Linked DNA regions of Solanum lycopersicum. The protein of the gene in region 1 interacts with the protein of each later gene in a pairwise test. Links are inferred from orthologs where the notes say so. Each region holds a gene or a part of one and is shown on either strand. Other genes may lie near its edges. The genes, in order: increased DNA methylation 1 and increased DNA methylation 2.

Region 1 (9,506 bases):
ATAGAGGAGTGCTACAGGAAGATATATGCAAAAGTGAAAGATAAGTACGATTGTGAGACCAACAATACCCATACGGTAGTAAATGTTGAGCCTATAGTAGCAGCATATCTAAATCGAGAGAAGGTCATCTGAGATGGTTTAACCATATCTAACGTTGACATTTAGATGCATTTAAATGCTCTACCATATAGGTGCAATACTATAATGATTAAATGTGTTAAAATGGCGAGGTAGACATAAAATCACATAGAGGAAAATGGTCTCATAAAATTTACATAGTATTAGTTTCTCAGAGCATATTTTATTTCTTTCTACAGGACCCAAACAAACTTTATATTCTTCATCCCACCATCATCACAGGCTTCAAATCATGTATCAGCAGGCATACATACTGCTAACAATTATTACTTTATCACCCTCCCATCCTCCGCAAACAAAAAAGAAGAATGAATTCATTTGCAAGTCATCTAGTAAATACTGGATCTTCTCACCTTTTCCCCAACAAAATTCATTTACTTGTAGAAAAAAGAGATAGGAGAGAGTTCCTAAAAGTAGAATGGAACTGTAAAAGGCATAAATGAACGTTGGCATTTTGTTAGCTACATTGCCATTGATGCACAATTTGTTTGTGATAAAATCCAAAACATCCTTTCTCATAGTATAAATATCTGCAGGGAGAATGGACTGGGTTTAAAGGAACTCTTCTCAACAGAGGTGTTAAGTCAAAAGGAAGAGCAGGAGACAGTATTAACATATACACAGAAGACCCGCTGGATTTTGTGCAGTCCACCAAATACTATAGTAAACACTTGCAGTTTTTTACACCTTCAAAATCAAGCTACCATTTCCTTTTGGAGCCTTATATTAGTGTTAGTGCTGTTTAAGGTAAAAATGCATCGAAAAGTGCCAAAATCTGCCGAGGCTCTCAGCACAATTAATGCTCGACATTAGTGAAGAAACATACAGATGAAAAAAGTTCTATATATTTAATGGAAGGGAAAATAACTATAAACTCAAACAATAAGTATATGGGCAAAAGAATTAGAAGAACAACAATTAAGATAAATATATGAAGTAAATATCATATGAATCAAGGTCAAGAACCATCTTCACATTTCTAATTCAAATGCAAAGATGCATTTTTTGAATTACTAAAATAGATTTAGCAACTAGTTTTCTTACTAGATTTCTAATTTCCTTTTTTAGTCAGCATCATTCATACTGGTTACTTAGCAATTAATATTACTTCTTTTTTACTAGAAGGTAATTAATATTACACTTTGCTAGCTATGCTTGTTGTTTAGTGCCATCCTTTTCCATATAGAGCCAATGGGTGATGTAATGCTTGGCTTAGCCCTTGAGTGTCTACACTTAAACACATGCAAGTGTGGTGTCCTAAACTTAAACAAGACTGCTAATACTGTGCTTAGTTTATCTTCAACCCCTTCACACATATATATAGTTCTCTGTTTTTGGTGCAAGAATTTATTACAATCTTTTAGATTCGCTACCATGGTCTGTTTAAGAGTCAAGTTGTAAAATTAAGTAATGTGAGTATGTGTAGTACCTCAGTCAGCCACCAACTACTTACTCGCAAAACATAGTCAACTCCCATCTTATTAGTCCTCCAAAATAATACTGAGGCATTCAACTAGAAATGGAGGGACTAAGTTCCTACAAGTATGGAGCAAATAAACTAGATACCAGCATTATATTCGAATATATGGCATGCAGGCAAATTATGAGACTCACCATTTGAGCTTGGGGTCAGTGAGAACTGGACCCTTTTTCATGCATCCAAGGTATGTTTGGGAGTGAGGGCGCTCTTTGGCCAAGAGCAGTGAAAGGCGGTCTGTAATGGAAAATTAAAGCAACTCAAGTACATCAAAATTCTAGGACATGGTAAATGCATAACAAGAATGACAAGTAAAGAGCAGTAAGAATAGAAAAGCTTCAAAATTCTTGTTACCTGGCCTCAAATATATGTCGTCATCAGCTTTAACATAAAATTCAGAGTCATAAAGCGCATAGGCAGCTTTGAAAAAAGCTATGCTGGAAAAACAACTTGAGTAAGTATAGGAAACCAAAAAAGGAAAAATGATGAATTACTACATGAAAGCAGCCAGAACTAACGTTTTGTATGGTAGCTTACTGTACTTCTCTTCAATGTCTAATAGTAAAAAATCATCATATTCTGCTACCTCTTTTTTAAGCTCTGCCATTTTGTATTGATCACTTGTTCTACCAATTACAAATTTAAAAGCCAAGCCAGTAGCTTCTTCTAACCTGCAATTTTATTTACGTCAGTTTAGCAAAGTATAGATTCAAGAAACATATAGAGACAGAGAAACACAACTACATATAAACATAACAAATAAATGAATAACATTGAGTTCATTTGTGAAATATCTAGTTCTAAGTGCTTAGCGAAAAAGGAAATTCTTTTTTTCCTTTTTTCTTTTTTTTTTTCCGCAAAAGGAGACAAAAAGAGGTATCATCGCCGATATATATGGCAGGAAACTTCCAGTTCAATTCAACAAGAGCATGATAAAATTGTTCTATGAATAACTCAATTTCCACATAATTAAGAAAATGTCTTTTAACCACAAGTCATACACAACAATTTATTCCCTATGACACACAAGCATATAAAACTACAAGAGCAAGCTACCAGTAAAAACAACAAAACGATACAACGTTTATAAAATCGACTAAACTAAACTAGATTTTTAATCTGATGACTATAAGAAAGACTACACAGTAAATACTCAAACACCTCACGTCGAGTTTCATTAAAATGCATATCTATTAGATAATGTGAATTTCCAAATGAAGGTAAATCTCATACCTATCCCTTCCATTGCATCTTTCATAAAACCATGTCTAATCAATACAAACTTTTTTTTTTCTGTATCAAAAAAGTTTGTATTAATTACGCATGGTTTTATGAAATCTGACAACCATCCCTTCCATTGTATCATTTACTTTAACTAAGTTTGTATTATTTACGCATGGCTTTATGAATCTCAAGCTATCCCTTCCATGTCTTTCTCTTAGCTACATTTGTATCAATTACACATGGTTTTATGAAATCTCAGAGCTATCCCTTCCATTGCATCTTTCTCTTAGCTACGTTTGTATTAATTACGCATGGTTTTATGAAATCTCAGAGCTATCCCTTCCATTGCATCTTTTTCTTAACTAAGTTTGTATTAAATTAAACATGGTTTAATGAAACCTCATAGCTATCCCTTCCATTGTGTCTTTCTCTTGACTAAGTTTGTATTAATTATGCATGGTTTTATGAAATCTCACAGCAGATCAATAAACTACTAAAAAACAACAACATAGCTAGTGTAAGAGTCTGGGGAGGCTACGGTGTATGCAAACCTTACTTCTACAACATGGAGGTAACTCACATCAATTAACTACAACAAGAACAACAAAATAGTCAGCGTAATCTCACTAGGTGGAATCTGAGGAGGGTAGCGTGTATCCGAACTTTACTTCTACCTCGTGGAGGTAGAGGCACAACAATAAACTAAAGATTACTTTTTTTTTTAATTCCACATTCATAAAAAATCACAGAGAGAGTAGTATTCATACTTTTGAAGGCCTTCATGATCAGAAGGAAACCAAGTTTGCCTCAACGACCGGCGACGACCAGTGGAAGCAAACCCAGTTTGGATCCCAACAAATCCCATAACTTTATGCCTCTTTTGCCCTTCATCTGAAACTCCATCAGCATCTTCACTTGCCTTACTACCACTTCTATCCCAAACAACAGAAACAGATCGAGGTTCAGCATATTTACAATTTGACCCTAAACCCTGCTTCGAAATTGCAATAAAACCGAAGATAAACCCAGCTACACCGATGAGAGAACAGAAGATCAGGACCGTCGATCTGCGGGAGTAGATAGTTGAGGATGAAGAAGAAGATGGCCAAGCATTGAAAGATTTAGGAGATGAAGGCATTTCAAATTATGAGTAAAATTAGCACAGGATCAAAATTGGTGTTGGGAGTTGAGATTTTAGCTCTGTTATGGAAGTTTACACTTTCTTGTTTGATGAATTCTTGCAGGTTTCCTCCATCTTTGTCCTCTTCCTGAAATTATTATATTTAGCAAGTTTTTGATTCTAGATTTTAAAAATATTTATCTTTTGAAATCTGTGAAGAACCAAAAAATGCAACACTGATCAATAAAACGTGAAGAAATAGCCACCAAAAGGAATCAGGTAGCTAGCTATTCTTAGACGCATTGAGAAATGGTAATTAACTCCATTAATCTTTTGACCACTTGTAAAATGGATAAAAAGAAAATAGTTTTTTCAAATATTTTAGGTGTAAAACTCATAAAACTTTTGAAAAAAAGAAGAAGATTGTAAATGGCTTGAAAAAGCAATTCGCCCAAATTTTTCATTTTCCGCATCGTTTTGCTTATTTTTTTTATCCTGCTTGACAAAGTCACTGGTGTATAGCTACGAAATTATAAATTATCAACGTCATTACACATTCCCCTACAACACATTAATTCACTTCATCTAAACAAAAATGACTATCCACATTCATCTGCAAATTATCTACTCTACAACCTGCTTCCCCATGGCTGATATACGTCAGAACCGGTTCCTCGGAGAGTTTTGAGCACTTGCTAGGCAGAGCATCAACAACACACAGCACTTCCACTGGTTGCAAATCATTTGAGTCCGGCAGCCTGGTTTCGGTTTGATGCTCTGGATTAATGGTGTTTCCTTCACAGCCTTGCCCAAGATCCTGATTACTACCACCTTCATCTTCACAGAATTGCAAACTCTCAGACTGAGGTGGGTCTCTGACATCAGCTCCTGCATTGACATCTTGAGATGGCACGCAATGTTGCATGGGCTCGATAATGGTGAGGCCATTTCCACCCGGACAAACTGATTTCAAGTATGAAACAGATCAGTTCCAGTTTGTAGTGTTTAAGAAAGAGAATTATATTCTTTAAAGTTGAAGAACATCAAACACTAAATACTCACCACTCGGTTGATCTGCATCAGCAGCTTGAAACAAAGACTTCTTCAACCATACAGTTCCAGGGAACACCATGAGGTTGATATGACTTAGACTTCGTTTCTCGTGATCTTCCAAGGGTTCAAAGCCAAAGCCACAAGTCCATGTTTCCACTAAACCTGGAATAGCTGATATGACAAGTTTCTCAACCTTGAACGACTTTAGCATCTGGATGTCATCACAAGGGAAACAAGTAAGCATACATGGCAAAACCTTGCTTCACCGTAAAATAAAAGATAATGTGCATCACAAGCTCCATAATCCAGGAAAAGACTGCAACAAGCAAGGGGTTCATAAGTATAGCATGTCAAACATTTATTTAAAATAATTCAACACTTCCTATAATTTTTTATCATATCAAATTAAAATTCCACAGGATGAACACCCATTTTTGGGGCTTATGTCCCACCCTGTACTACGTGGAACATCTGAGTGGGACACCCGGCAATTATAACACTGTTTTCCTGTCAGATTACCTCCAGTATAGAATTTAGTAGGCGCCTGCACATTCCCTGGCGGCGGTATTTACTGCATGTTGCAATTAGAGGCATCTCAGCAACTGTTACTCCATGGATCCTGCAAAAGAACCAAATTCTGATTCAGATAAAGATCGTCGCCCCAGAAAAAGTCCTGATTTTAGTGAGATGGTTTCATCAAACAGACAGCAAGGAGGCCACAGCTTGCTAGTCACAGACTCATAATTAATGATCGAGGTTATGGGAAAAAGGTCTCAGGTAAACTATAACTCCTTTTGGCATTCCCATATAGTAAACGTAGGGATTGAATAGTGATAGTTAAGAAATTTCTATATAATCTTTTTCTTTTTCTTTTTTTTAGTCAGAGAAATTTATATACTAGTCAACAATACTTGAAGTATCTTTCTTCCAAGCACCTTCTGTAACAGATATGAATGCACCAGTTATCCAGAAACCTCCAGATGAAAAAAATTTCTATAAAATTCCAAAAACACCTAATAGTCTATCAAGCATAAATAACAGAAACAACCGGCAATGCACATGCAATATGAGAAAAGGCCATCACTAATCACAGTCTAGCCTTTCAATTTTAAGCAGCCGACAGGAGAAAATACTTCTAATACTCGCAAGAACAAAAAATTCTTGATGTAATTGAAAGGCGTACAGTAAGAAACACAAACATAGCATAAAAACCAAAAGATCAGGTCAAGATGGAACCATGAAATTGAAATTGCAAGCTTAAGATGTCATATTAAAGAACTTAAAAGGAAGCTTCAACTCCAAATGTTTCGGTTTTCCTTCTAATGTTCCAACTCCAATAACACTGACATTTTTTCTTTAAAATAAACAAAAGAAAACAGGCCACAAATAGAAGGTAAAGGAGCACAAAGCAAATCAGAAAAGATGCATATGCTCCAAGAATATCAGCATTGCAATAGAGGTGTCGAGCTTATAGAACAAGCAATAACAATGGACAATTGCATTCAAGATTGTAAAGAATTACCTTACTGATGCTACAGCTACTGATATGTCATCTTTCTCCAGGATCATCGTGTAGAATCCAAGATAATTTAACCGAGAAAATTGTGATCTGTAAATATTTTAAAGATAAGTCTTTCAGCACCACTTAAGTGTCATTGTATTTTGTAACGTTGATATGAACATAGTCAAATGACACCATGGATGCAAGACCCAAAAGACACCTTTTGATTTGGCGCATTGAATAGATGAAACTTATTCATAGTTACCAATTTCAAAAATAAAATAAAATGAAACTTATTCAATTTTTTGCATATTGTCATTATATGCCTTACAACATAATGCTTCAGATAAAACTGCTCTTGTAAAGTTCCTCTGTCATTTCAACATAAAATATATTATTCTTAAATTTATAGTTCAACCTTCCATTCAATTAGTTTGAATAATTGAATGAGAACAGAATGAACAAGACATGCTAGGAATAATGCCTTATCTATCAAGTGCGGGAATTTTGTTAAAACATGTAGGCTGTTGCTAATTTCACAACCGCTTTAGAAGAATGTGGAAGAATAAGCATTAAGCAATATACCCAACCACAAAGGTAAGCACAGCAGTATGCCAAGATAAAAAAGAGTTTATGGGAAGCAACTCACCCCCAGCTGTATATCACATGGGGTATCATATCTATGCCAGTTCTTGGATCCACCATGGGAAGAAAGCACTCCTCCATAATCGTAAGGGCAACTGCTAACTTTGAGTTGCATTCTGCCTTCAAAGCAATGAACCGCTGAGAATGAACTTTGTGGTCACCGAGAATGCACCTCAGAATTGTCCATGAAAAGCCATCAGCCAGATGATTAACGAACCCAATGCGAGAGTGAAGACCTTCATAAACCTGCAAAAGAGTATCGCTTAAGTTTTTCTGAAAGACAACCAAAATAATTCATAGTCAACCTTGCAATGAAGTTGATATTCTCTCATGCCAAAATCTTTCACTTATCAAGGAAATCAAGCAGGTGAACTTAATCCAAGGCCACAGAACAGTACTTTGCAGTGAAAAACAGATATTTTTTACTATTACTATAGATGGTGCAAAAATTTCTGCTTTTAGTTTAGCTGTTACTTTTAGATAGACCTACTCATGATACATTGACAATATAACAATCATATTTCATATCACATTCTCCTGCCATGACATATCACATTCAAAAGGAACTAGTAACCACCGATAGAACTTCACACTCCACACTAAAACTTTAGAAGAGAGAGAAATATGAAAGTTGGTTTGTTTTATCTTACACTGAACTGCATCAGGGATTTACATCATTGAACAAGCTCGTTTTATAGTAATGAAAAAGGTAAAGCTGAGATGACTAGCTCACCTCTTGACAGCTTTCGCTGCAGAACCATGTATCAGAGGCCAGACCAGTTTTTGTAATCCTTAAATCACTGCATGCTTCATGATCTGTTCAAAAGTCATCAAAGCCATTGAGGAATTTAGTAACAGAAAACCAAGACTTTTGAGAAGGATTATATATTTTCCGCCCCCCATAACTGAACAAATGTGAAAGAAGATGATAATTCTCTGATCGAGGCTTGTGAAGTTTGCCAAATGCAAAATCTTAGTATTATTTTAGACCATGCATTCTGGTAAGAACTGAATACAGAGCTCCAATACCAATATTTGGACATTTTCAGGCCTGCAATGGGAAAAGAATAGAAACCAAACAAGTCAAAGTTCATGGGAAAACTCACATTTATGTTCACATTGTGAACATTTATATCCACCAGGAGAACTTGATTCACTACATCTAACCACGTCCCCACATTTCTGGCACGTGCATTGTGAACAGTACCAACTCCCTTCAGGAAGCTCCTGAAACAAGAAATAATAAGTTAATCTACTAGAATTTATATCTCTTGTCCAGTGTCATTAAACAAATTCAGTACTCAACTTCATATGATACGCAACAAAATCAAAGGGAAACCAAGACATATTTTAGAATAATCATACAATCATGCCTAGTGCAGAGACAAAACCAAAACAATATTGGTAAATAATTTAGTTTTTTGAGAATGAACAATATTGGCAAACAAATAGAGTACAGGTTTGTAGAGAAACCATGGTACGACTTGCGAAAATGGTAAAAAGGCAATAAAAACAAAGTAAAGCAAGTGATTACGAAGAAAATGAGGGTAATATAGTCCATTTAAGTGAAGACAAGGACATATTTGACCCCAACTAAGTAGAGTGCAAATATGTTCCATTTCACATAATGTTATGCAGCATTTGGTTAGCGATATTCGACAAATACCCGTATTTAATTATGTGAAACCTTTCTATTATTTTATGGGGAATAGAATAGAAATAAGAAGTCATGTCAAGTAATATGCAGATTAAAGTACTAAGACAAAAATGTCATTAAAGCAAGAAATCCATGCACAGCAATCCCTTGGACTGTTTTGGTGGAAAGACGAGTCCTGAAAGGGAAATAATTGAGAGTAAGGACTGAACAAGACATGCAACTTCTTTGGTGTTCTGTTTATATAACGTCATATAAAATCATATAAGAACCCATGCATAAAGCGCTAGGACGGATCTTTTGACATCTTACAATTTACAAGTGAATTAAACATAAATGTTGAGCAAGAAAATTATTTATTCAAGGCAAGATAAAGGCATCAAACTGACTCGAACAAGTAAACTAAGTGAAAAGAGTCAAAAGACGAACCTGTGTGAACAAACAAGCTAGATGAAATGTAGCTGGACAATTGTCACAGCAAATCAGTTCGCCTCCATCACCACATCGCCCGCAACTGTCATCATTTTGGTCCCTTTCCTCAGCTTGGGAAGTTTGAGAAACTGCCCTCCGTGCCTTGTATTCATCTGACCAAGCCTCAAGCTGACATAAGGTGAATGGCTTACCATTCTCCATGAAAAGATTCAAACAGGGGCGATTGTGCTTAAAACCGGCATGCTTTTTGAAGCTAGAGATG
Region 2 (10,448 bases), on another chromosome or scaffold:
CTTGGACGGTAAGTTGGAGGATATTGGGGTCTAATTTTTCCCTTTTTAGTAATTTCAGAATATATGGAAAGTGATTTTTCTTGTTCTTGCAAACAACAACATATGCTGTGAAGAGTTAGACATCTAGTGCTTAAATATCCTTTTAGTATAAAACTCAAGACTCTGTAACACAGTAACAGATAACACCAAATAACAAAAATGCTCCCAAGCACTTTATCCTAGGTGGCTTCTAAAGATCCCTTCTTTGATTTCTAGAGCCCCTTCTCTGGTGGTTCTCTGCCATTGGAATCTCTTCCTTTTCTTGCCTTTTCTTTCAGGTAGCATTTACTTGGAACATGGAGTGGTTATATTTCAGACAGAATCTTATGATCTTACAGACCAGTATCTGCTTCAGAGGTATGGTTTCGAGTTGGTGGAGAGTACAGTGATGTCTATCGGACATATGATATTGAGAAGGGGAGCTTTACTTTGGTTATGCAAAAGATTAGAAGGAAGCTTCTGAAAGCAGGGGGAGGGGGGGGGGACTTCAAATCTGAGAGATGCAGAGACATTTCGACATATGTTTATTGCTCCCTGAAGTTCAATAAGTACCATCGATTTATTTCTGTTATCAAACTGAAGGGAGTAGATCAGTAATTATTATTCCAGAAAATGCATTTAACAAGGAACGGCAAGATCTAGTAATAAAAGTGGAAAACTTCATTGAGAGAAAATTAGAGAAGCAAGGAGAATTTATTACAAAAAGGAAATTAAATCTCAATACAATCATTGAGAAGGGGGATTATGAGGCAGCTCTTCGTAACAATAATGTAGCCTGAGCACACCTTACATGGTGCAGTCCCTGACGTGACACTGGCATAATGGATGTCAAAATGTGGAATGAACTTCATCTCCATGCTTTTCAAGTGCAAGGAAGGAAATGAATAGGGGGCAAGCAACTGACAAACAGAAGAGCATGCCTAAGAAGTTGGATTGCACTCCTTCTGGAAGTTATTTTTATATCAAGCCATAAGAATTATGATGACCATAGCATTTCTCATGGCTCTAAACTCTAAAAAAATCAATAATAAATGTAACATCTAAACATACCAAGTATCTTTTGATAAGTGAGTGTGTTTTATGTGGGAATATGTTCTCAGTGTGTTTTATGGAAGCTAGTTGCTTCTTTCTGCAATCCATGTTGTTGACTAGATCACTCGTGAAGAATCCATCAGGCGCACACTAAATCCATGCTTCTATTTTATGGATTTTGATGGTGTTCACAGCATCTCAGTTTAATGTGTAGCTATTTTAATATTTTCATTTTGACATTTTAATATTTCTTTTTTGACAGGTCTCTCTAATCTGGAAACTTCCTGTCTCGATGCTCCTTAGGCTCACCATACCACAGACTGCACCTTCTGAATGGAATAGATTCTGTTTATCTTCCAACATTGCTCTCTGCCCCCTCCTCCTTCTGTTTTCCTGCAAATCTTTTGTGCCATTAAATCATCCAATCTCTTTCCTTCTCTCAGACACCCATTTGCCTCTTTGGTTCATTGTACTTTGTGCTACGTGTTCTTTGGCTGTTGTACATTTCATTGTTGAAAAGGAGGCCCCTAAAACTGAGCAAATGCCTGCAGTTGTTATAGCATTTGTTATGAGTGTATTTTGGATCTCCACAGTTGCTGGGGAACTTCTCAACTGTCTTGCCGTTCTTGGAGAGCTCCTGAAACTGCCTGCTGCCTTTCTTGGTTTAACGGTGCTTGCATGGGGAAACTCAGTAGGTGATCTTGTTGCAGACGTGGCTGTAGCAAAGGCTGGCCAACCGGCCATGGCCATGGCTGGATGTTTTGCTGGGCCAATGTTTAACATGCTTTTTGGGCTTGGAACTGCTTTGGTTATGCAGACAGCAAATGTATATCCAGAAGCTTATGAGCTTCATCTCCACGTGAGTATCGTGGTTGCTTTTGTTTTCTTGCTATTGAGCTTGATGGGATCTTTGCTTTTAGTTACTTGGAATAGGTTCCGGGTGCCAAGATTCTGGGGATTTTGCCTAGTAGGACTCTATGTTGTATTCATGATAATAAGCCTGATCATTGCCACGTTCTCTGCCTGAGTTTTGGAGAGACAATTGATTCATCCATCACTGGTCTGGAACCATGCGGGGGCTGCTAAACTCTTGAAGATGAAGTAGGTGGCAAGTGCGCCTTTGCCACAATATCTAGGAAATGGTTATGTTGATAGCCTTCATTCACTTATCAGTTAAAGATCTTATTGGCTTCCATTCAAGAACATAATAATTCATTTTTTTTTTCAGTTCATTGTGGAGTGAGTAAAGTGAGCTGGAAAGCATAATCCACTGGTTGTATAGTAAATTTCTGGTCAACTAGAAGCTTCATGTAAGCCAGTACATTTTTTCTTGTGAAATTCAACAGAATTATAGAGAAAAATGCTTAACTTCGTATTTATGCAGAACTACTCGAATCATACTATCATTTTTTTTAAAAATAGAGTACTGCTTAGCTCTCTGGATAAAGGTTATTATTGTTGATTTTGTGTTACGTGATCAATTGTCATAATTAAGTAATGTAGATTTTACACCCAGATTGATCTTTAAATGTGGGTCAGCCTGTTTAAGCTTTTTACACCTTACCTTACTTGTAATTGAACAGGTAAGTTGGTTGCATTCACACCAAATTACTATTATCATAGACATAAGCTAGGTTGCAATTTGTAGAGGTACTACCTCCTAATTAACAAGACACTAATTTACCCTATTCTATTGAGAATATGTTTCTGCTTTCAATACGATTCCCTCGAGAATTCCATCAGTGCCAAAAATACCAGAAAATGCTTGAGGGTCAACTGGGCCTGGCAGCTTGAAAGAGATGGTGAAATTTCCTGTTGGACATAGGTTCTGAGTTTGCATCTCGAATACTTGAGAGTACTTGTGGACTGTCCTATCACCAGTTGTCATTCCCTTAATCAATACTTTACCATCAATCTCCACTTCACAAGTAAATTCTCCTGAGTTAACCATAGATTTTGAACAAATTAGTCCTGGTCGAATCCAAAATCATCAGAAGAATGCAGTGCGCCATATTGTAAAAGGATTTGGCAGATCAAATATGTCAACTGGGACTAATTGCAAATTCAGATGTGAAAAATATTTTAGATCATGATTGTAACTTACTTTCATCTCTCTGTACTCCAGGGAGTGATACACGGAACAAGTAAGCATCCTCACTTTCTCCTACATCCAAGAGCCCGAGAACTGGTCCTATCTTACCCTTCGCTGCACTCCCAGCCACTGCAAATCCACTTTTAGTAGCACCAACAATGTTACTTAGCTCCTCCATAGAAGGGCAAGAAGGAAGGAAGACAATGCTAAGCTCTGAGTCGTCAGAGTTGGTGTGCTTTGATGATGGACCCATAGACTCTTCCGCCAGTGGACTGACATCCTTAAAGAGGCTACTAAAAGGAGTATCATCAGATTTTTTAGAGCTATCTGGTGGCGCATCAGTAAACTGGCTGACAGCATCATTCCTCAAGAGACTTCTACAAAGTGTAGTGTCAAATTGTCGATTGCGATGAGGTGGCATATTACTACATGAGCCATCATTCAAGAGACCACTAAAAGGTCTAGTGTCAGATTGTCCATTGCTATCAGGTGGCACACCATTAAATGGTTCATCAGAAGCATCCTTCAAAAGACTAGTAAAAGACATATAGTCAAATTGTTCATTGTCAAGTCGTAAATCCTTAAATGGCTCAGTACTTGAAGGTATCTCCTTATATGGTAGGCTACTAGCAGCTAATGATGCATATTGGAGGATATCACCAGGATTGGATATCTCCTTGTTTCGAATATTAGTTAGAGCTTCGTAATCAACATCGGCTTGTGATTTTGTGCAATCTTTGTCCATGACCAGATGTTCTAGACCAGTGAGCTTCTTGAACCTCTTAACACTATCTGGTTCGATATAACTGGTATCAGGGTCATGGATGAACACAATGTTTGCAATAACATTATACACATGACAGCATAAATGGGGATGCAGGTTGGGAGGAAACAGATCACAGAACCGAGGATAAGCTGCTGGTTGTTTACGGTAAAGAGTAGGAAGCTTCCCATGAAAGTACTGGTGCAGCCACGGTTGTGCCAGGACAACAGACCGATCTGCCTTTCTCAATGCATGATAGTAAACCCTTTCTACTTCTATGGTTCTTAGGCATGAACCAGCTAATTGATTGGAACTGTATGGAGGTAAGCCTAGACCCTTTCTTTGCAAAACTGACCTTTTGGGATATTCTACGGGGATATCTGGTCCAAAGAAGGTTCCAATGATGAAGTAAAGGAGGAAAAACTGATCATCCGTTGGAACCAATCCAGTGAAGTTGTTGTCCATGCTCGATGGAAAGAGTAAGAACTCTGTGATTAATCTGTTTCAGATGAAATGAAACAGATAAAAATATTGACTCTAGACTTGAGTAAAAAACACGGTTGAAACATATACAATGAAGACAGTAAGTAGTGAAAAAAGAAGAAGAAGTAAACACTAAGATTGATGATATGTGATTATAGCTTGAAGCGAGTTCAAAAGATCAATTATATGGAGTTTTTACCATCTATTACCGTATATGGATTTCGCAAACGGAAGGTTGAAATCAAGAATGATTTTGATGGTTAGAACGACAAAGACACACAAAAGGATTAGTAATTGAGATTCTGTAAGTCATCCATGAGGATATTTTTGTACATAAAAAGGGGAGCCTTTTAAGTAAATGCAACAGAGCATTTTCCAAAAATATAGTTTAGGCTGCCTATCTGTTTTGACATAGATAACTTAAAATTGCTTCACTAGACTGGATTTAAGCAGGTACAAACACAAATTAAGAGCAATTTCTACACTAGATCAACACATTGGCAAGTCACATCCACATGCAACAACTCATTGATGATTCTTACATGCAAGAACACTAAAAACATGATAGTACAAATCCAGAATCAGAGAAAAATTGACAAAAAGAAGACATCAAGTGAAGTGTAAAATTAGGAAATACAAAATGTAAAATACAACTCTATGTTTTTTTCCAAAGTGAGAAATCAATAAGTGAAGTGTAGAAAGCATACCACAATGAATTCTCCTTCTCCAGAGAGTAAGTTGAACTATTTGCTAGTGCCACAAAAGAAAGCAACGAGGTTTTTCAGAAATCAGTCATCCCAATCACTGCCACGCGTCCTTTACTTGGTTATGCAATATAATTGGTAAATAATATTATATAAGAATTGTTTTTTCTTATACGGTAAATAGCCTTTAGTTCAAGCGGTTTGATTTTATCAAATTTTGATTTGCTTTTAAAAAAAATGTGCATTGTAAATCAAATTAATTTACTTTAGTTTGATTTTTTTTACTTTAGTTTGATTTAATTTAGTATTTTTAAATCGATTTATGGTATTGACTGAAAAAATAAAATAAGAATAAAGTATAGAATACTTAGAAATTTAAAATTATAATAAGAAATGATATGTCGTGGAATACTTGTTGTATTAATTAAAACACTATATTTATCTTTATCAAGAACATGTTTTTCTTAAAAATTAATATTTAAAGTTAACTATTGAATGGTATATTTGTTGTTGCATTAATTTGTTCATCTCCACCTTTCCCCAATTGTTGTGATATAGTTGCCTTTATCATTAGAAATTAGAGCATAAATTATATATACATATTACAATCTTATTCACCAACTAAACATTTCTTAAATATCAAATCAAAAAATAAATATATACTTAATTTTAAATGATAAAAATATTGATATCTAAAAATATAACGGAAGAATTATTTGTCATTTCTCTCAATAAAATAAAGATACTCCAATATAAGATGATGAGTATTGACATGTTCTATCAAATAATAAATTGACAACTCAACACAAACCATTAAATTTCAGACCAAAAATAAAAAAGAGAGAAGGGTAAAAACAAGATTTGACTAAAGTCTGAACTCTTAAGCGTTAAAAGCCCCATTTTCCATATTCTGAGAAGACCAAAAATTGAAGAAAATCGGGAGCAAAGATGCATTCATTTGGGTATAGAGCTAATGCTTTGTTAACATTGGCAGTCACCATCCTTGCGTTTATGTGTGGAATAGCTTCTTTCTCCGACAATTTCAATACTCCGATTCCAACAACTGAAGTTCAAGTACACCTACCTCCTTAAAAACCCTACTTGAATCTATGTTTTCCTTTTGTTAACTTTGTCGATTGTAATTAGATCTGTTAATTTTGTAAATGACCCACGTGTTTGAACGCTTGATTTTCTGCAGGTGTTGAATATCAATTGGTTCCAGAAGAAACCTGATGGGGACGATGAGGTATTTTCTTTGACGAAAGATTTGTATCTGTCGATTTTGATAAAGGGTTTTTCTGGGTTTTTAGTTTCGGATTAATTTTTGTTGAATTCGGTATGTGAGATTGTAAATTGGGTTCAAAAACTGGTTGAACTATGATGGTTGACCTTTCTTCTTTTTTTTTTTCTAATAATTTCTATTTCAAATTCTTGAATATGGGTATTGCTGGATTCTTTGAGGAATCAGGAATCTATGTGATCTATGTACATTCTTGGTTAAATTTGTTTGCTTTCTCATTTGAGAATGGAAAAATCTTGAGATTTTCTGTTTTGAGGTAATATAACTATAACATTGTTCAATTTCAATAACCAAGTTTGATGCATATATGTACGGACATTCTTTGTACTATCAATTGTATACTCTCCATTATAATACCTTCTCTCTAAAAAAATTTTCAATTTCAATCTAGGAGATCCTCCTAGTTAGGCATGAGTATCAACCTAAATAATCATGAATTGTTAGTTAAGGTTTGAACTAATTTTCTCTAAACCCCCATGATATCACATTGTTCTTGAAAATACTAGTAAAAGTTATGAGTTATGACTTTCTTCACCACTCAAACTCACAGGGATCAAACAGAAGAGAATCAACGAATTCCTCGATGAAATCACAAGTAAATTGGACATAATTCATTAGATAAAGACGACCAAATAAAACAGTCCTACTGTACAGAAAAAGGAACTAAGTCGGCTAACTCCTTCGAGATCCTCTTCTTCTTTTGCATTGTTTGAGTGCCTTGAGGCATTCAACTAAATCTGCAGTTCCAGATTGTAAAGATAAAGCTATCATATGTAATACTATTAACTAATTCCCAATTTCTTAGAGTATCCATTGGTTTTTAGTCTATTTTAAATGTTAGAGTTGCCAGTAAGTTTCCAATATTAACTTCAATAATAGAGGGCTAACTAAGCTTACTAGAGGTGTGCATTGGTCGGGTCGGTTTGGTTTTATGTACTATCGGGTTTTAAATACGTTAAACCAACATCTAATATGTTGAACCACTTTTTTCGGTTCGGTTTAGAGCGAAAGGACCGCAGACAACTTTTGAGTAAAACTCTGGAGGAAAAACAATCTTCTATTAGTATTTTCATGAATCTATGTGATATATGTGCATAAAAAAATAATCGTATGTTTTTTTAGATCTCTTAATCATTGAAATATCATAAAAAAATATGCTAGCACATTATATTGCCTAAGGTGTCAGTTTATTTTCTTTATCTTGTTGATCTACATGAACTTGGTAGCTGCTCTTTTGTTAAGCATTCTTGTTACCATTGTTGGTTGAGTGGTTATATGAACTTAATGAAAGAAGTTTGTCTATATCATGTATACTTTTCCTTTTATGCAGGTCAGTTTGACCTTGAACATATCGGCAGATTTACAGTCATTGTTCACGTGGAATACGAAGCAGGTTTAGTGTCTATTTTATTTGCACCATAGTTTGGATTTCACTCTTTTAACCCTATTACTTGAGTCTGATTTTCTTCTATGTAAAGTATGAAAGTGTGGATGTATCAATCTGTATACATCTTATGCTCAATTAAGCTAATCTCTAAGACATAATATATGTATACTTTTCATCCCCGTTCTGAAACACTGGAGTTCACTAGAGTGAAGGGGAGAGGTGGTCATATTAGATGTTGATGCCACGGTTAAGACTCTGGATTACAGGATGTGGAAATTGGAAAATAGAATGCATTACACAAATTTACGAGGCTATTAGTGACTATATAAACCAGTGTTAGATAGTTAAATCTATGCCTTCTTGTACAATTTGTTGACGTTTTCCCAGTTAGTCCAATGACTTGGTGCAGTATTTCCTCTTTCACCTTTTCTTTTTAGTAAAAATTAAAATGAACTTAAATTATTCCTGTTGCAGTGCTTGTGAGAAAGCTGGTTCTATTTTGTTTCCTCCCTTTTTATTTTCCTTGAGAATTTGGAGGACGGGATTTAGAGTGTCTTTACAGCTTCAGTATACCATATATTGAAATTCTGCTACCTAACATGTGTAACAAGAGACTGGAATATTTCAAAAAGAACAAGACTACGTGCAATAAGTTTCCTAGATTTCTGAATTCAAAGTTTTTTAGTTTTAACTTCGAACACTTTAAGAGATATGTTGGCATTGATCGGTCAGATCTCTGTTGGTTGGATTACCTTTATAGTTACTTCTAGCAACTGTGCAATTCTAATAATGTTTAAAATTTTGCAGGTGTTCGTATTTTTGGCAGCTGAGTATGAAACTCCAAAGAACGCTTTGAATCAGGTCTATCTTCTATTGGTTGAGAACTGCATATAATTAATATCTTCCTTGTATTTCATTTGTTAGTTAGATCTTATTTGAGGCTCGTGTCTTTGTCTGATAAATGTATTGCAACTGAAAGTAAGGCTTAGCACAGTATGTATCAACATATCTGCCCTTTGCTTCTCCTTGTAAATCAACGGTCCTGTACTTTGTTGTCAGTGATAGGATTTTCCTGTAAGTATGAATGTATGCTTAGTGAAGCCTCGTGGGGCTGTCTTCTCCAAATTTGAGGAGCAGGCTTTAGAAGCTCCAAGGATACGTCAACTCATTAATTTTTAGGACCTGCTTGAGAATTTGTTTTGTATTTTGTTTTCCTACCCGATGAGAGTTTGGTATGATTCCTTCTACTGACCTGATTGTTTTACTAACAGATATCTTTGTGGGATGGTATTATTCCCACCAAGGAACATGCAAAATTTTTGATTCACACCACAAACAAGTATCGGTTTGTTGATCAGGTTAGTTTCTGAAGCATTTTGCCTTATTCTGCTTTCTTCTTTATCTCATGATTTTCACAAGTACCTAATTCCTTGTTTGTAGGGAAGCAACCTCCGTGGTAAAGCTTTTAACCTAACATTGCATTGGCACGTTATGCCAAAGACAGGGAAAATGTCTGCGAACAAACTTGTGATGACTGGTTACCGCTTGCCAGAGACATACAGATGATGAATTTTTTCCTCGGTGCAATTTACCTGTAACTTTAGCCTCCACTGATAAGTAGGGGAGAATGTGCTTAAATGAGATGAATAGGATAATTTTGTCCCGGATAATGTCAGGATTGCTGTTTATCGGCCTCAAATTATAATATTGATACTTTAGACCTTTGATATTATGATTGTTTTGTGTGACTAAAACCACCATTATTCCCTTTCTTTTCCGGGTAGGAGATGAACAATCAATATTGGAACGAAGTGATTGAAGTTGGAACTGAAAAAAACCTTGTGGAACGTAGCTAATAGTGAAGTTCCCAGCTGCAGGCCATTTTTATCAGTTGAGAGTGTAATAAGTGAAAAGGAGACTTGTTACTGTTAAGTAAAGGAAGATGTGATAAGGTTATGATGAATCAGTTGGAGGTCATTGAGGAGGATGAAACAAAATAACAATGACAACACTATACGGGTTTTGCGGAAACACTTGTAAAGCAACTAAGAGAGTGAAGTTTATCATCAAAATACCATGTCTTAAAACCTCGAATACTCAGGAATCGACTTGTAACATGCTAAACTGAGCTTGTTTACAGGATCCCCTGTTTAGCGTCATTGATTTAACGAGAGACAAAAGCAAGCCTGACATCCATTAAAAACGACAAAATAGCTCAACTATTGTCTCTATCCATAACTGAAGATAAACTAAGACCTTTCCCATACTATAAAATGTGTTTGTTCATCACCATACAAAGTAATAACAACTGTCTGTTCTCTCATCAGTCTCTCTTAATATGGCATCATCAATCCTCAACTTTCTTCTTACATTCTTAGCAGTCTCAAATCTTGTATACCTATCACAATCACAAGTTACTAGAGCTCCCTTCAAACCTGACGGCCTTGCTTTGCAAGTCTTTAAGGATTCTGCCACTGGTCTTCACATAACCAACATCACAAAAGGAACTCCCCAGCAATCCATCCCATTGCTGATTGATTTGAATGGCAACTTCTTATGGTTAAATTGCGAAAAAAATTACCTCTCATCAACCTATTTAGCCCCCTTTTGTCAGTCAACTCAATGTTCTCGCTTTGGTTCTCATTCGT

The links.
Region 2: the proteins of increased DNA methylation 1 (region 1) and increased DNA methylation 2 interact in a two-hybrid assay, tested with the Arabidopsis thaliana proteins (3 studies listed by BioGRID, with this or other methods). The link is inferred for Solanum lycopersicum from reciprocal best matches to the Arabidopsis thaliana genes ROS4 and AT1G54840.

Annotation. Positions count from the first base shown.
Region 1 is NC_090806.1:67,720,128-67,729,633, forward strand, and holds the end of increased DNA methylation 1, read right to left. Parts: coding exon 9,242-9,506; intron 8,386-9,241; coding exon 8,265-8,385; intron 7,975-8,264; coding exon 7,892-7,974; intron 7,405-7,891; coding exon 7,163-7,404; intron 6,622-7,162; coding exon 6,535-6,621; intron 5,632-6,534; coding exon 5,532-5,631; intron 5,224-5,531; coding exon 5,022-5,223; intron 4,923-5,021; coding exon 4,531-4,922; 3' UTR 4,390-4,530; downstream 1-4,389. Other genes in the region: probable beta-1,3-galactosyltransferase 14, read right to left, coding at 1,753-1,852, 1,970-2,052, 2,134-2,286, 3,607-3,977. UniProt on the Arabidopsis thaliana protein: Histone H3 acetyltransferase that binds methylated DNA at chromatin sites lacking histone H3K4 di- or trimethylation and catalyzes H3K18 and H3K23 acetylation. Prevents the transcriptional silencing of transgenes and of some endogenous genes.
Region 2 is NC_090800.1:85,087,373-85,097,820, reverse strand, and holds increased DNA methylation 2, read right to left. Parts: upstream 5,228-10,448; 5' UTR 5,117-5,227; intron 4,426-5,116; 5' UTR 4,392-4,425; coding exon 3,176-4,391; intron 3,043-3,175; coding exon 2,762-3,042; 3' UTR 2,521-2,761; downstream 1-2,520. Other genes in the region: cation/calcium exchanger 5, read left to right, coding at 1,334-2,098; signal peptidase complex subunit 3B, read left to right, coding at 6,062-6,187, 6,312-6,359, 7,744-7,806, 8,608-8,661, 9,072-9,158, 9,241-9,366; gamma conglutin 1-like, read left to right, coding at 10,139-10,448. UniProt on the Arabidopsis thaliana protein: Prevents DNA hypermethylation and transcriptional silencing of transgenes and of some endogenous genes. May act as a molecular chaperone of IDM1, regulating its H3K18 acetylation activity.